2 linked regions of the Arabidopsis thaliana genome follow. The protein of the gene in region 2 purifies or fractionates together with the protein of the main gene of each other region. This does not show direct contact. Each region holds a gene or a part of one and is shown on either strand. Other genes may lie near its edges.

What was found. Proteins that work in one complex are often made in the same cells at the same time.
Region 1: the proteins of AT3G07750 (region 2) and RRP41 purify together in Arabidopsis thaliana (affinity purification with mass spectrometry; 2 studies listed by BioGRID, with this or other methods). This does not show direct contact.

The regions. Positions count from the first base shown.
Region 1 is NC_003074.8:22,799,690-22,806,876, reverse strand, and holds RRP41 (3'-5'-exoribonuclease family protein), read left to right. Parts: upstream 1-2,772; 5' UTR 2,773-3,042; intron 3,043-3,684; exon of another isoform or gene 3,685-3,796; 5' UTR 3,797-3,855; intron 3,856-3,955; 5' UTR 3,956-3,966; coding exon 3,967-4,020; intron 4,021-4,109; coding exon 4,110-4,156; intron 4,157-4,248; coding exon 4,249-4,309; intron 4,310-4,401; coding exon 4,402-4,443; intron 4,444-4,522; coding exon 4,523-4,587; intron 4,588-4,674; coding exon 4,675-4,753; intron 4,754-4,847; coding exon 4,848-4,884; intron 4,885-4,973; coding exon 4,974-5,176; intron 5,177-5,260; coding exon 5,261-5,350; intron 5,351-5,447; coding exon 5,448-5,495; 3' UTR 5,496-5,656; downstream 5,657-7,187. Other genes in the region: CRF6 (cytokinin response factor 6), read right to left, coding at 656-1,603; AT3G61610 (Galactose mutarotase-like superfamily protein), read right to left, coding at 5,848-6,056, 6,137-6,236, 6,331-6,433, 6,523-6,657, 6,735-6,898, 6,983-7,039, 7,134-7,187. UniProt on the Arabidopsis thaliana protein: Non-catalytic component of the RNA exosome complex which has 3'->5' exoribonuclease activity and participates in a multitude of cellular RNA processing, maturation and degradation events.
Region 2 is NC_003074.8:2,471,370-2,477,050, reverse strand, and holds AT3G07750 (3'-5'-exoribonuclease family protein), read right to left. Parts: upstream 3,820-5,681; 5' UTR 3,726-3,819; exon of another isoform or gene 3,574-3,725; 5' UTR 3,566-3,573; coding exon 3,443-3,565; intron 3,351-3,442; coding exon 3,294-3,350; intron 3,206-3,293; coding exon 3,113-3,205; intron 2,912-3,112; coding exon 2,833-2,911; intron 2,739-2,832; coding exon 2,614-2,738; intron 2,307-2,613; coding exon 2,163-2,306; intron 2,073-2,162; coding exon 1,833-2,072; 3' UTR 1,476-1,832; downstream 1-1,475. Other genes in the region: ADA2A (ADA2 2A), read left to right, coding at 3,989-4,041, 4,270-4,331, 4,468-4,670, 4,799-4,864, 4,951-5,076, 5,155-5,227, 5,334-5,394, 5,484-5,542.

The DNA.
Region 1 (7,187 bases), about 20 Mb from region 2:
ACCACAGTTTTATTTTATTTGTCACAACAAAACAACAATTGCATATGCAAAAAAAAAAAAAAAGAAGAAGAGAGGTGTTGGTGCATGGTGATTACTATTTAAAATATAATTTTTTATATTTTAAAGTACTATATATATAAATATTTTTTGATCTCTAATCACAAAAGATGATATCAATAATATGATACAATCATTCATTTATAATTAGTCAAGATCATGACTTTTCTTGAATTTCCAAGACTGTTCTGACAATTCTATTTGTGAATAAGTTTTTTTTTTGTTTTTTTACTTCGAAGTAAAGACTTGTTTCACTTGTCGCATAATCATAATAAAATTCCATACGATTTGTTTTTCATAAATAATTTATAGACATAGAAACACATTTATATACTGCTTCCTACCGTTGAGACAATCTCAGAGAGAGGAACCAAAACAACGAAAGGTCCAAACCTTGATAAACATTAACATACTTATCTTCTTCTTAACTAAAATATTTACCCACAAATTAATAAAACAAAACCCTAGTTTTTTTGGGTTTGCGCTTCAGTTGATCTGAACAGTCCACGTCATTCAGACTAAAAAAGGTAAGCCGACGGTCACGATGTATCCACGTCATCATCACCACACAAAAATTTCCCCAAAAAAGAAGAGATTTTTAATCGAAAGAGTGATGATGATGGTCGAAGAAATGATCCACATCCCATGGAGAAGACTCGAAATCATCAATCAAACCAAACTCGAAATCTTCAGTTTCGTTTTCTCCTTGTTTCGAAACCTCTGTGTTTGGTAACAACGTTGATTGGATTTTGGTTTCTTCATCGAGAAACAAAAGGTCAGGGGCAATTTCGGTATCCCAAAAACATTCGCCGGCGAGAGATAAATCCGGTAACAGATACGGATCCGGGAACACCAAACCCGCCGACGATTCTTCTTCTTCTTTTATAACCGTCGACTTTCTCTCCGGAGATAGCTCGATCGCTTCAATCTCATGCTCTGTTTCCTCGTTGACGTTGAATCTTAGAACAGAGGTCGGTGAATGAAGGCTCTGCCGAGAATCTCTACCGTAATCGCAGGCGGAAACCGTTTGGAGATCGATAACCGGCGTTGGCGTCGGCGGAGTTAGGAAATTCGTGAGCGCTTTAGGTCCTTTGAGATGAATCGCGGCTCTATCGTACGCTATAGCAGCTTCCTCCGCCGTGACAAAAGTCCCAAGCCAAATCCGAGTACGGCTCGACGGATCTCTAATCTCCGCCGCGAATTTTCCCCAAGGTCTCTGTCTCACGCCTCTGTACTTTTTAGGCTTCACCGACGTCGACACGTCATCTTCAACCACTACGCTTTCCTCCTCCTTGTGCTTACCTTTCCTCGCCGCGGTGGAGGAAGAAGATTCACCTTGGCAGAATCTAATCTCCTTCACGTATCGTTTCACTCTTGGAACCACCGTGACGTTGTTGTTGTCGTCGTCGTCGCTAGACGAGTCAGTAGCGAAAGGATCAGTAACAGTGATACGGACCAGTCTCGGAGACCCGTTAGATGGTGTAGCTGCTACGTTTGTGACCGTACGATTCTCTGTGAACTTCACTCGTCTCGTTCGTCTCTCCATAGAGAGAGAGAGAGAGAGGGAGTTAAAAAATGAAGAGAGGTTTTTTTCACTGTTTTGAATTTGCAGAGAGAGAGAGAAGAAGAGTCAAAAGGTTAAAGAAGAATCGCCGTTTCTCAGGAACATCCTTCTTAAATACTATTAACTCATCACTATTTTTGGAGATTTTTGTTTAGTAACGTGATTTTTTCTATGTAATTAATTTAATTAGATTTTAACTGTTACAGAGAAATTGATGCGTGTTCAACACTATTCATATGATATGAGACACTGACCCAATCAAAACTCATTCAACCTTATAACTAAACGTATCTTAAAATATAGTTGGTGAAATGACATACGTTTATCAAAGCTTAACCTATTGAAATTTAATCCGGTTAATGGAGTTTATAAACCGGGAATTAGATTTGGATTTAATGTAAAGAGGGACGATGCTTAAGGGCGGTTTCGTGGCGGCCAATGGGGGATCCAGAAACGGCTTTCCGCATCTCAGATTGAGACGTTAGATTTATGACACGTGGTAGTTACCGTACCGAAAGTAGAGCCAATTGTCCTAATCTATAGCTTGGTCTCCAAGCAACTTTTAACTCTTTTACGCGCGGTCTGTTTTACGTTTGCTACACGCGCCGGCTAGTGGGCTCCACGCGTGTGAGATTGGTCACGAGTATGTGTCAATTCGCATTGACCCAATATGGAAATTGTGAAGTTTAATGGTAATGAATCTAACGATGTGTTTGAAAGAGTAATAAAATCTCGTCTTTAATATTAAAATATATTTTTAATTTCGGAAAAAATTTATGATCTTTTGCTTGGAGACCAAGTCTCTTATCAGAAACTTTATTAGAAAAAGCTACTATTAAAAAGGTAACTAGAAATTAGATTTCCATAGTTAATGGTTGAGCTTTGACTAGATTTGGTCCTAAAATAATAATTGAAAAATAAGCTTTTATTATATCGATAATTCTACAAGTTAATATACCAAATCTTGTAACTTACAGTAATTCTATATTGTTTTATTTTGAACCTTATATAACTTACACGAATTCACCTGTGATTTTATAAAAAGATACATGTGATTTCAAGACTTTTTTTTTACGTGGGATTAGTCAGGTACTCGTGTTAAAAGTTAGACCTTAAAAATAACAGTCAGTTTGATTTAATAATAGTTAGTAGTATGTATATGGAACATTAAGTCGGAGAGGGGTTAAACTCTAGTGTATCGGGTTGCTTGGCATGGAACAGATATCGCGGAACCGGTAAGTCGGAGTGGTTAGCTTTCTGGGAGAGTTGTGGTGGGTTGGTGCGACGGCGGAGATAGGTGCAGATGGAAACCGGAATCTTCCAGCTGCGTTTCTCGATCCGTCGTCTGCGGCCGCAAAGCTGTGATGCTTGAGTCCGCCAGATATAAGGCTCCGACCACTCTGCTTCCGACCAGCAGCAAGGTTCGAACCTCTTTGTTTGTCGGTGACTTTTTCTGTTTAACCTATTTTGTAACTGGATTTCATCTGTGTATTGGGTCTTAGCCCATGCCCTATTGGGTTGTTTTTAATATATTAAAAAAAAAAAAATTGTATATGGAACATTAAATTGCATGACATTCGTTAGGATAGTCGTAGTAGGTACTACTTTTACTAGGTAGAGACTAGAGAGTGGTCTCTCTTAAATTGTCTAATATGGTTTTGTATACTTTTTGATCCAAACATACATACATAAAAAAAGAAGATGTTAGCAAACCTTAGTAAATAATTCCATCATCTCCTCCGTCAGGAACCCGTCATTTTCATATACCTCACTTTGCATTCATTTGTCGGCATTGCCACACGTAACTCCCGACACGTTGATACTACTATCAATATACTATTGACTTAGAAATTGATCTAGATACTATATTACTATTACTAATACATACTTGAAATAACAGAGTCAACAAGAAAAGCCTTGATAAAAGAAAACAACAACAATTTGAGCTATACTTTTGAAGGGATCTCACTCTTAATTCTCTTATTGCATGCATGTTCCCGCAATTTTGAGCTTTACTTTTCTTTGCAAGCGAATTACCAATTTGCCTGGCTTCATAAACTAGAAGTTATAAAAAAAAATCCTCCTGTGATTTGACGGTTTTACCCTTAAAATCTCACTTAATTCACAAAAAGGAACCAAAAAGCCCTAATCTTTATGTTGTCGACACTCTTTCAGTTCTCTCGACGCCGTCCATCGCCCTCCGTCATATCGCCGCCGCTAAAGTACTGGCAGAGGTAAATTCGTCTCTTGTTCCCTGTTCTGTGGGATCAGAAAGTATTAAACTTGTTCTGTTTCTGTCTTTCATTGCTCTCATCCTTGATTATCTCTACCTAGAGTTCACAACAATGGAGTACGTAAACCCTGAAGGTCTTCGATTAGATGGTCGCCGATTCAACGAGGTATGTTTGCATCTCTATTCACTGTCTTTGTAAGCCACTGCCTTCACAAGTTAATCGGTCTATTCGTGATTGCTTGTAATGAATCTCAGATGAGGCAAATCGTAGCTGAAGTTGGAGTTGTTTCTAAGGCTGACGGGTAAAACTCAAAATCTGTCTCTTATCTTTTTCCGTATCTCAGTTCTATATTCGGCACTTTTATATGAACAAAAATTCCAACTTTGTTTCCAGTTCTGCTGTCTTCGAGATGGGTAATACCAAAGTAATTGCAGCTGTTTATGGTCCAAGAGAGGTACTTGATTACTCTGTTACTCACCTATCAAGATTGATACTTTAATTGTATAATTCAGCGAATTGGTTATTTCTGTTAATGTGCTCCTTCAGATTCAAAACAAGAGCCAGCAAAAGAAGAACGACCATGCAGTGGTATGTATATGCTTTGATCTTGTTTAGTATTGTTCTTGGTGAATATGGAATGCTTATTGCTAATTGTATGTTTTGGTAGGTGTTGTGTGAGTATAGTATGGCTCAGTTTAGTACTGGTGATCGTAGAAGACAGAAATTCGACAGGTTACATTTTACTATATAGCTGAGAGACTCTTTGCTTTTTCTTACGAAAATCATAAAGTTTGAATTGTTGTGTATTATGATGGTCAGGCGATCAACAGAGCTATCTCTTGTCATCCGTCAGACAATGGAAGCTTGCATATTAACCGAATTGATGCCTCACTCTCAGGTTTACTTTTTACTCTCCGGCGATATTGAAATCTAAATTTTCTTTCTTCCTCCTCCTTTTGCTTGCTTCCTGATGAATTGTTTCCTTTATGCAGATCGATATTTTCCTTCAGGTTCTACAAGCTGATGGAGGTAAAATTAAACTAAACCTCTGTTCTGAAGTTGACCTTTTGATCTCTTTCAATCTCTGATCAGCCATTAGTGTTATGTTCTGTAATCAGGAACAAGATCAGCTTGTATCAATGCCGCGACTCTAGCTCTAGCAGATGCTGGAATTCCAATGCGTGATCTCGCTGTTTCCTGTAGTGCTGGATATTTAAACAGTACTCCTCTTCTTGATCTGAACTATGTTGAAGACAGTGCTGGAGGAGCTGATGTAACCGTCGGTATTCTACCTAAATTAGACAAAGTGTCACTCCTTCAGGTTTTTCTTCAACTCTTCATATCAGATTTCTATACATTCGCATTCAGATGATTCTAGACGCTTACGTTTGGGTTTAATGTGTAGATGGATGCCAAGTTACCGATGGAAACATTTGAGACAGTGTTTGCATTGGCTTCTGAAGGTTGCAAGGCAATTGCAGAGAGAATACGCGAGGTAACAATGGACTTCTGAATCTTTCTAAGTTTTCCCTTTCCACCATTGAAAAGCGTTCTTTGTTTTCTAAGTCTTTGGCTCTTCTGTCTTTGTGAAGGTACTTCAAGAAAACACCAAACAGCTAGAGTATCGCCGAGCTGCATAAACTTTAGAGTTAGAGAAAAAAACGTAAAGCTCCAAGATTTTTGTTAATTAGATTTTGCTGTTGTTTGTGGAAGTTGAGGATAAAAAGCTAGTAGTGCAAACTCTTTTTGGGAAAAATGAATCAATTTGGTAAAAAGATCAAACTGAATCGATTGAACACAACTTGTCCTCACATTCTTACATTAAGCCGAGGAAAAAAAAGACCAGAGGCTTTTTCTGTCACTACATCACAAGACTGGTCTGAGAAATCACCAGGTCATAAGCTCTAATGTGATAAAACAAGAATCAACAAAAAGAAAGAGATAAAAGAAACGGTGGCTCTGCTCTTCCAATGTTGCATACAGAAACTAGAGTCAGAATCCCTTGCTCTGTAGTTCGAGTTGATCGAAGCAGAAACTGGATTTAACAGCGGTCAATATTAGCCGGCCGGTCCATTCTTCTCCTGGCTTCAAAGTGATCGGTCTCTCCACTGCTGCACCATCCACACAAAGCATGCTTTTGTACTCTTCATCACCAAAATCCGCCATTGTTTTCGATTTCTTCTCCCATGGATTCCACACCACTGTACCATCCATCACGATTAATGAATCATATCATATACAACAAACAAGTAATCGAAACGAGTTGTTGTGCGATTATTACCGGTGTCTGGAAGTCCTTCCTTTCCGATAACATATGTTCTTTTCCGTTCATGATCAAGAACTGCAACCACCTTTGGTGATCTAAGGTATGTCCGGTCCATCTGAAACATGAATCAAAAGAAACTTCTGATATGAAGTAACCGAGCAAAGATACTTGTTCACTATCGATAACTGCAGAATCTTGTTAAGGTTTACCTCGGATTCAAAGGTTATTGCATCGCCTTGTTCAGTCAAAAGCTGTCTTTGGCTGAGGTTGTCTAAGTAGTCCAATGTCTCCAACCCTTCAATTCTCACTTCACTGTAGAGAAGAAAAGTAAACATTGTTGGGTTATAAAGATTTCACCAAACACTGAATAATCTTTTGCTTGACTTATTGAAGAGTAATACCTTATGTCAGAGACAGAGAGGTAGGTGTGATATGCAAATGAGAAGCTAAAAGGCTTGCCATTGATGTTTCTAATCCGAGAAGTCAATGTTAAGTCGCCATCTACAGCAAGCGAAACCCTAAGACGGAACTCGAAACTGCAAGGGAATAAGCATAGAATTTTAGAATCTCTGTCAAGAGGAAAAAATGAAGAAACAAGTGATGAGGAGATTACCTATGAGGCCATTGCTTTAAGTCATCTTCTGATGGTTTCAAAAGAAGATCAACAAAGGATTTTCCTAAGGATTCGTTTGAGTTAAGTGGAGGTGGGTTCTCATCGATTACCCAAATTTTGTTCCTTGCAAACCCATGTTGATCCAGTGATCCACAATCCCCAAACTTCACAAACACACACACAAAACTTCAATGAAAAAGTGATCAACAAAAGATCTCAGTTCAGTGAGCGCTACTAGTAAATTTTACCTGCGGATAACAAATCTGAATCCCTCCACGCATTGATTTTGGGGGTTTGAATATAGCCTAACAAATTCATAACAATATAAAAATCAGATTTTTACTTTTTATGTTTCAGATTCTTCACAATGTATCAGGGTTTTGTAGTGAGATCAGATACCTTATTGCTAGTGAAAAGAAGCTCTTCGCCTAGTTCATTCCTCCATGAAATCAC
Region 2 (5,681 bases):
AGTAACATAGTAAACTAAATCAATCAGTGTAATTGGATCAAACAACAAGAACAAGCCTAAGGCAAACTAGGGTCATACCTGAAGAAATATCAAATCAACCCTGTAACTGGTTAAATAGGCTGAATTCAGATCAAAAATAGGCTGAATAATTTAATAAACATGATTCTGCAACCAACAAGTCTAATAATGAAGAGCTCAATTCCAAGAAACATGCGAATTGAAGAAGTGATCATCATGAAAGGCTTATAAAGAAGGAATGATTGATTGAATATACCTCAACAGTCCAGATGAAGAAATCAAGAGGCTCGGGAGGATGTTCTCTGGTCATCCTTTCCTCTGCACAAAATTCCCAATACAATTCACCAGCAATCATTTTACAAAACCCAAAGAAGCAACATATCACATGAATTTCGTGTAATCCAAATCGAAAACGAAACAGGAGAAGAGAAAGGGGGGGAAAAGAAGAGGAAATACCTACCGAAGCGACAGCTGTGAGATCCGAAATTTGAGCTTTGATCTGAGTGATTTTCTTGGGGAGAGAGACAGAGGAAGAGGAACGGGATTCAGCGAACTTAACTGTGCCAAAATGCGTGAATTTTTAGGGTTTGAAGAGAGAGAGAGAGAGAGAGATGAGAAGAGAGAGTCTGGGGGAGGGACAAATGGGTCCACCAAGTGAAAGTGTTTGCTTTTTTCCTCTCTTTTGGCTCTTTTTCTTTTCCTCCACGCTCCTCTCCCGCCTCCACGCGCCACCGTCTCTCCGTACCACGACCATTTTTGCTATTAAATCTTTTTCTCTTTTTTTTTTTATTTTATTTTTAGAAATAAATATTTTTACTGTCAAAATTAACTTTTACAGTTAAAAACCTTTAAGTACTGTAGTTATCAATTTTTTTGTGTATATTTTATTAGGGTAAATCATAGACTAAATATATTTGATTAGGTTTGACTCTTTTTCCATAATGAAAACAAAATAAGAGTTAGTGGCCAATAAGAAAAGAAAAAATCACTTTAGTCAATCAATTTAGTTTCATTTTCTTTTCCAATTAGTTAACCGACTGATTTTCAAATCTTACTTTTTAATTGTTTATGCTAGTCACAATTTAAATGTGGAAACGATGTTAGTTGATTCGCAAAAACAGTTATCAATATCATTGTTAGTTAGTTCATCGGAATATACGTAAATTCGTTGAGTTTTGCCATTTAACGCTTTCTATTTGCTCCCTCCTTTTGTTGTTTTGTAGTATGTACCATATCATAATTCTATGACATAATAGATGACTACCAAATTTTCTCTGCCAGCTTGCTTGTTATGAAATGAAGGAGGAAACAAATGTGAATAGTATCGGATTTGGGAGTTTTACAGAAAACAATTGAATGTTTCAAAGCCATTTTTACCAAACCCGAAGCTGAGATACACGTGACCAACACTGCTCACACACTCTTTTGACCTTTGAGCTTAATCATGGACCACCAATCTTCTCTTTTTTCCAAGTCCACTTAATTTCATTTGCTGACCTCATCTCCATTCTCATTTCCTCCTCCCAAAATATCACAAATCCTTTTGTAACTTGTTATGTCTTTCACTTTAAACACAGAGATCCAAGGAACGCCTCTTTTAATAATCCCTAGATGAGATATAATGTTACTAATACTATAATGGCAAAAATATCACCTTTACTATCACAAAGCATGGAACATTAGAACATAGGAAAAAGGATTTTGATTAGCTTAATCTGTTCTGACTTCGTATAAGATTTTCCACAGATACAAATATTGTTGATCCCTTGCTAACATGTTTCATCTTGAAACTTTGATTCTCTGAGACTCAAGAGTCAAGATTCGTCTTCGCAGGCCTCTGCGGCTGAAATCTCTGAATCAAGTTTGCTCATCAGAGTCTCTGTCACATGCTTGGCAACAGAGATCATGTCAAGGATGACGCTTGGGTCTAAGCCAGACCCGCTTCGTTTGGTTAACCCACATATATGGCCTGTCCGATTCACAGATATAGATACAGCTGAGCTCATCTGAGACTCCTCTTCTGCTGTTGCATCAACTATGTAATGCGTTCCCACCTGCAAAAACCAAGGACAGCATGGTAAAAGATTAGCGAAATGTACATAAGAAGATGTCGATGTGAATCAAGAAAAGTGAGATTCGATTACTTTTGTTAACGTGACTATGACCGGGACACTGGAAGTGTCAAATTGAAGATATTCCTCGTCGCTGATGTCAATCTCTGGTTGCTCATCATCTGCTACTTCAGCTGAAACATTGACTTTTGGGATGGCCGTGTTGGTTAAAGCAGCCTGCAGGAGTATAGTCAACAAGTGCATTAAAGCATGTGATCAGCCTTGAGGAAAGATGACTTTTGGGTTGCTTAAACTATCAATTGGAAACATATCGTAAAGCTACTAAAACCAATAACAAGACAACTACATTGAGCTAATCTATATACACTTAACTAAAGACCCATTCCCTTTCGTTTCCTATATTCTCTGGCCTTTCCTTTCTCATGATTCTGATTGATGGGTATGATTTACTCACTAACATTCGTAACTAAAACCTGAGACTAAGGGTTAAGAGAGAAAACCAAACACACATCACAAGAATTACCTTAATGGCAGCACCCAGGGCATCCAATAGATTCCCATCCGAACTAATGACAAGACCATCAATATAAAGGTCCCAGCAAACTTTTCCTTCTTTGATTAAAAGCGAAGATAAATTTATTCCAGCTCCTGGTACCAAAACATGAATTGCTATAAACGTTACAAACAGAAAGCGTAACAGTGTGCAGGTAAAAAAAAGCATTGCATAAACATGATTGCAGACCTGCTCCACTTTTGCCACCCAGAAGACATCTTTGAAGAGCCAAAGCAAGCTCAGAAGACAATTCCTCACCTCCTCTCCCCTAAGTAACAACATATCACAAAGAATTAGCCGCCTAAAGACTTAACACAGTAGAATTTAGGAGATTCTGAAGAAAAGTAATGATAACCAAAATCTCATGTTGAACAATTCCACTAGTAAGAGAAACACCAATAGAACGATAGAACGGGTGTGACAAGTGCTAGATAGAACCAAAACCAAACGAAATAAAAGAAAAGCTCACCCCAAATGTCGGTTCAGCTGTTGGACTGCAATCAATGAAAACTGCAACCTTTCCTTTATCGGGTTGAAGTGAACTTGGCCTCCCAATTTCAGCCTGCAATTACACAAGATTACTGGGTAACATCTACAATAGCACTTCCCATTCAACAATAGAACAGTAGCAGAGAGAACAAAGGAAGTACCTTTACACTAGCAATCACATCGGTTCCACCAATTCTAACTCTCGCTGAACCATTAGCCTAGAGCCAACAAAAACAAGAGAAAGAACATATCTGTTAAACAACTGGGAAGCAACAATGAGAAGCGGACGAGCTCTAGGAGATTACACTACCTGCGGAATAACACCGGTTTCGACGTAGATAGGACGGTAAGTCAATCTTTTCCGACCATCAGTTCGAAGATCTTGAGCAATCCCACCTTTAATGAAATGTTGTTCCCCAAGAGAAAGCCCCATCACTAATACTACACAGAGAACGAATTAGATCAACTGCTGAGGAATTTCTACCGGAATGACAAACTTCAAGGTTCACGGATTGGTGCTAGGGTTTAAGAGACAGCTCAAACAAAGTACACATCTTTATACAGCACAATCAAAACCCACTAATCTTCTTTACCTTCCCGGAGAATTCAATAGAAGACACAACTCTGAAGTTTTCCGGTGACCCTAGCGGCAACTTTGGATTGGTTAGGTTAAGAGAGAGACGTGACCACTGACAACTGCCGTAGGGTTTAAAGATGGCGTGAACATAATTATTGACACTTGTTAAGGGTAATTTAGTCATTTACCGACTTACCATTTTTTCACTGCTTTTTAGCGTTTTCTCGCTCTTCTGGTTTTTTCTTCAATCTGCCGGGAAGAAGTGCGAGCTTGGTGCCGATGGGTCGTTCGAAACTAGCTTCTCGTCCTGCTGAGGAAGACCTGAATCCAGGGTTCGTTTAAAGTTTCGTTCTTTGTCCATCTTAGCTCGAAGTCTTCTAGGGTTTTCTCTGTTCAATTACTTACTTGTCTTTGCGAAAACATTTCAATATCTGGTAATCCACTTAGCTGTGTTTGATTATCTGAATCGGAGTTCTTTTGGTACTTGTGGGTGGCTCTTGATTTCATACTGCTGTCGTCTCTTGTCTTTATCCTAATTTTGATGATTTTGGCTGTTTCAGAAAATCAAAAAGGAAAAAGATATCATTGGGTCCTGAGAATGCTGCGGCATCAATTTCCACCGGTAGGTTTCCGTTTACTTGTGCAATTAGGTGTGATACTGATAGGACTAAAGTTTCTGCTGTGGATAGATATGCATTGATGTATCATGTACCAAGCTGCGTTTTCCAAAAGTTCTTACATGTACCAATACATTGTAGGAATTGAAGCTGGGAATGAGAGGAAACCTGGCCTTTACTGTTGTAACTATTGCGATAAAGATCTGTCTGGTTTGGTTCGTTTCAAATGTGCTGTTTGTATGGACTTTGATCTTTGTGTGGAATGCTTTTCTGTCGGCGTTGAACTTAATCGTCACAAGAACAGTCACCCATATCGTGTTATGGTTAGTTTCCAACGCCGAGCAGTATATTTGAATTCAATTCAACGCTTTGTCAGCTGAAAAGTAATTAGATTAGTGATTGTGTTTAAAACAAAGAAAATGTTCTATGGTTGTATTTTTGTTTGTATTGAATCTACCCTTTTGTTTGACAGGACAATTTGTCTTTTTCGCTTGTTACTTCTGATTGGAATGCCGATGAAGAGATACTCCTTCTTGAGGTAATCATTAATCGTTTCTGATTGTACACTCCCATGTCTATATAGAGATTCCATCTGACTATTGGGAAGTAAATTGACTGTGTTAGGCCATTGCGACATACGGGTTTGGCAATTGGAAAGAAGTTGCAGACCATGTTGGTAGTAAGACAACGACAGAATGTATTAAACACTTCAATTCTGCTTACATGCAGTCACCATGCTTTCCACTTCCGGTAAGGACTGATGAAAACACATGATCGTCAGATAGTTGAACCTAGCTTGTTTATTTACTCTAGCTCCCCGCTCTGTAGGACTTGTCCCATACTATTGGAAAGAGCAAAGATGAGCTGCTTGCTATGAGTAAAGATAGTGCAGTCAAAACAGGTCAGCTTTAAAATCTATTAGCGGGGTTTCTTGTTGATTTGGGACTCGTATATTAACCTTGACTGAAAAAAGGAGGATGCTGAGCTCTGTTTACTATTTGTCACAGAAATACCTGCATTTGTGAGGCTATCTCCAAAAGAAGAGTTACCTGTGTCAGCTGAAATCAAGTATATACTTATGCTTGTAACAATAGTTTACCTACGTTTACAATGTTGAATGCACCTTTTTAAAAGTACTATTATGTTTCCATGGGCAGACACGAAGCTTCAGGGAAGGTCAATGAAATAGATCCACCTTTGTCTGCCTTAGCTGGAGGTATGTGAAAATGCTTTTATCTATATAAAATTGTAGACATTATTTGCACTTAGATTTATGGCTAAGGACGCAAATCATCCGCATTTCGTACTACGACCCCAAATATTATCTCTTCCATGATTCCATATGTAAAGTAATA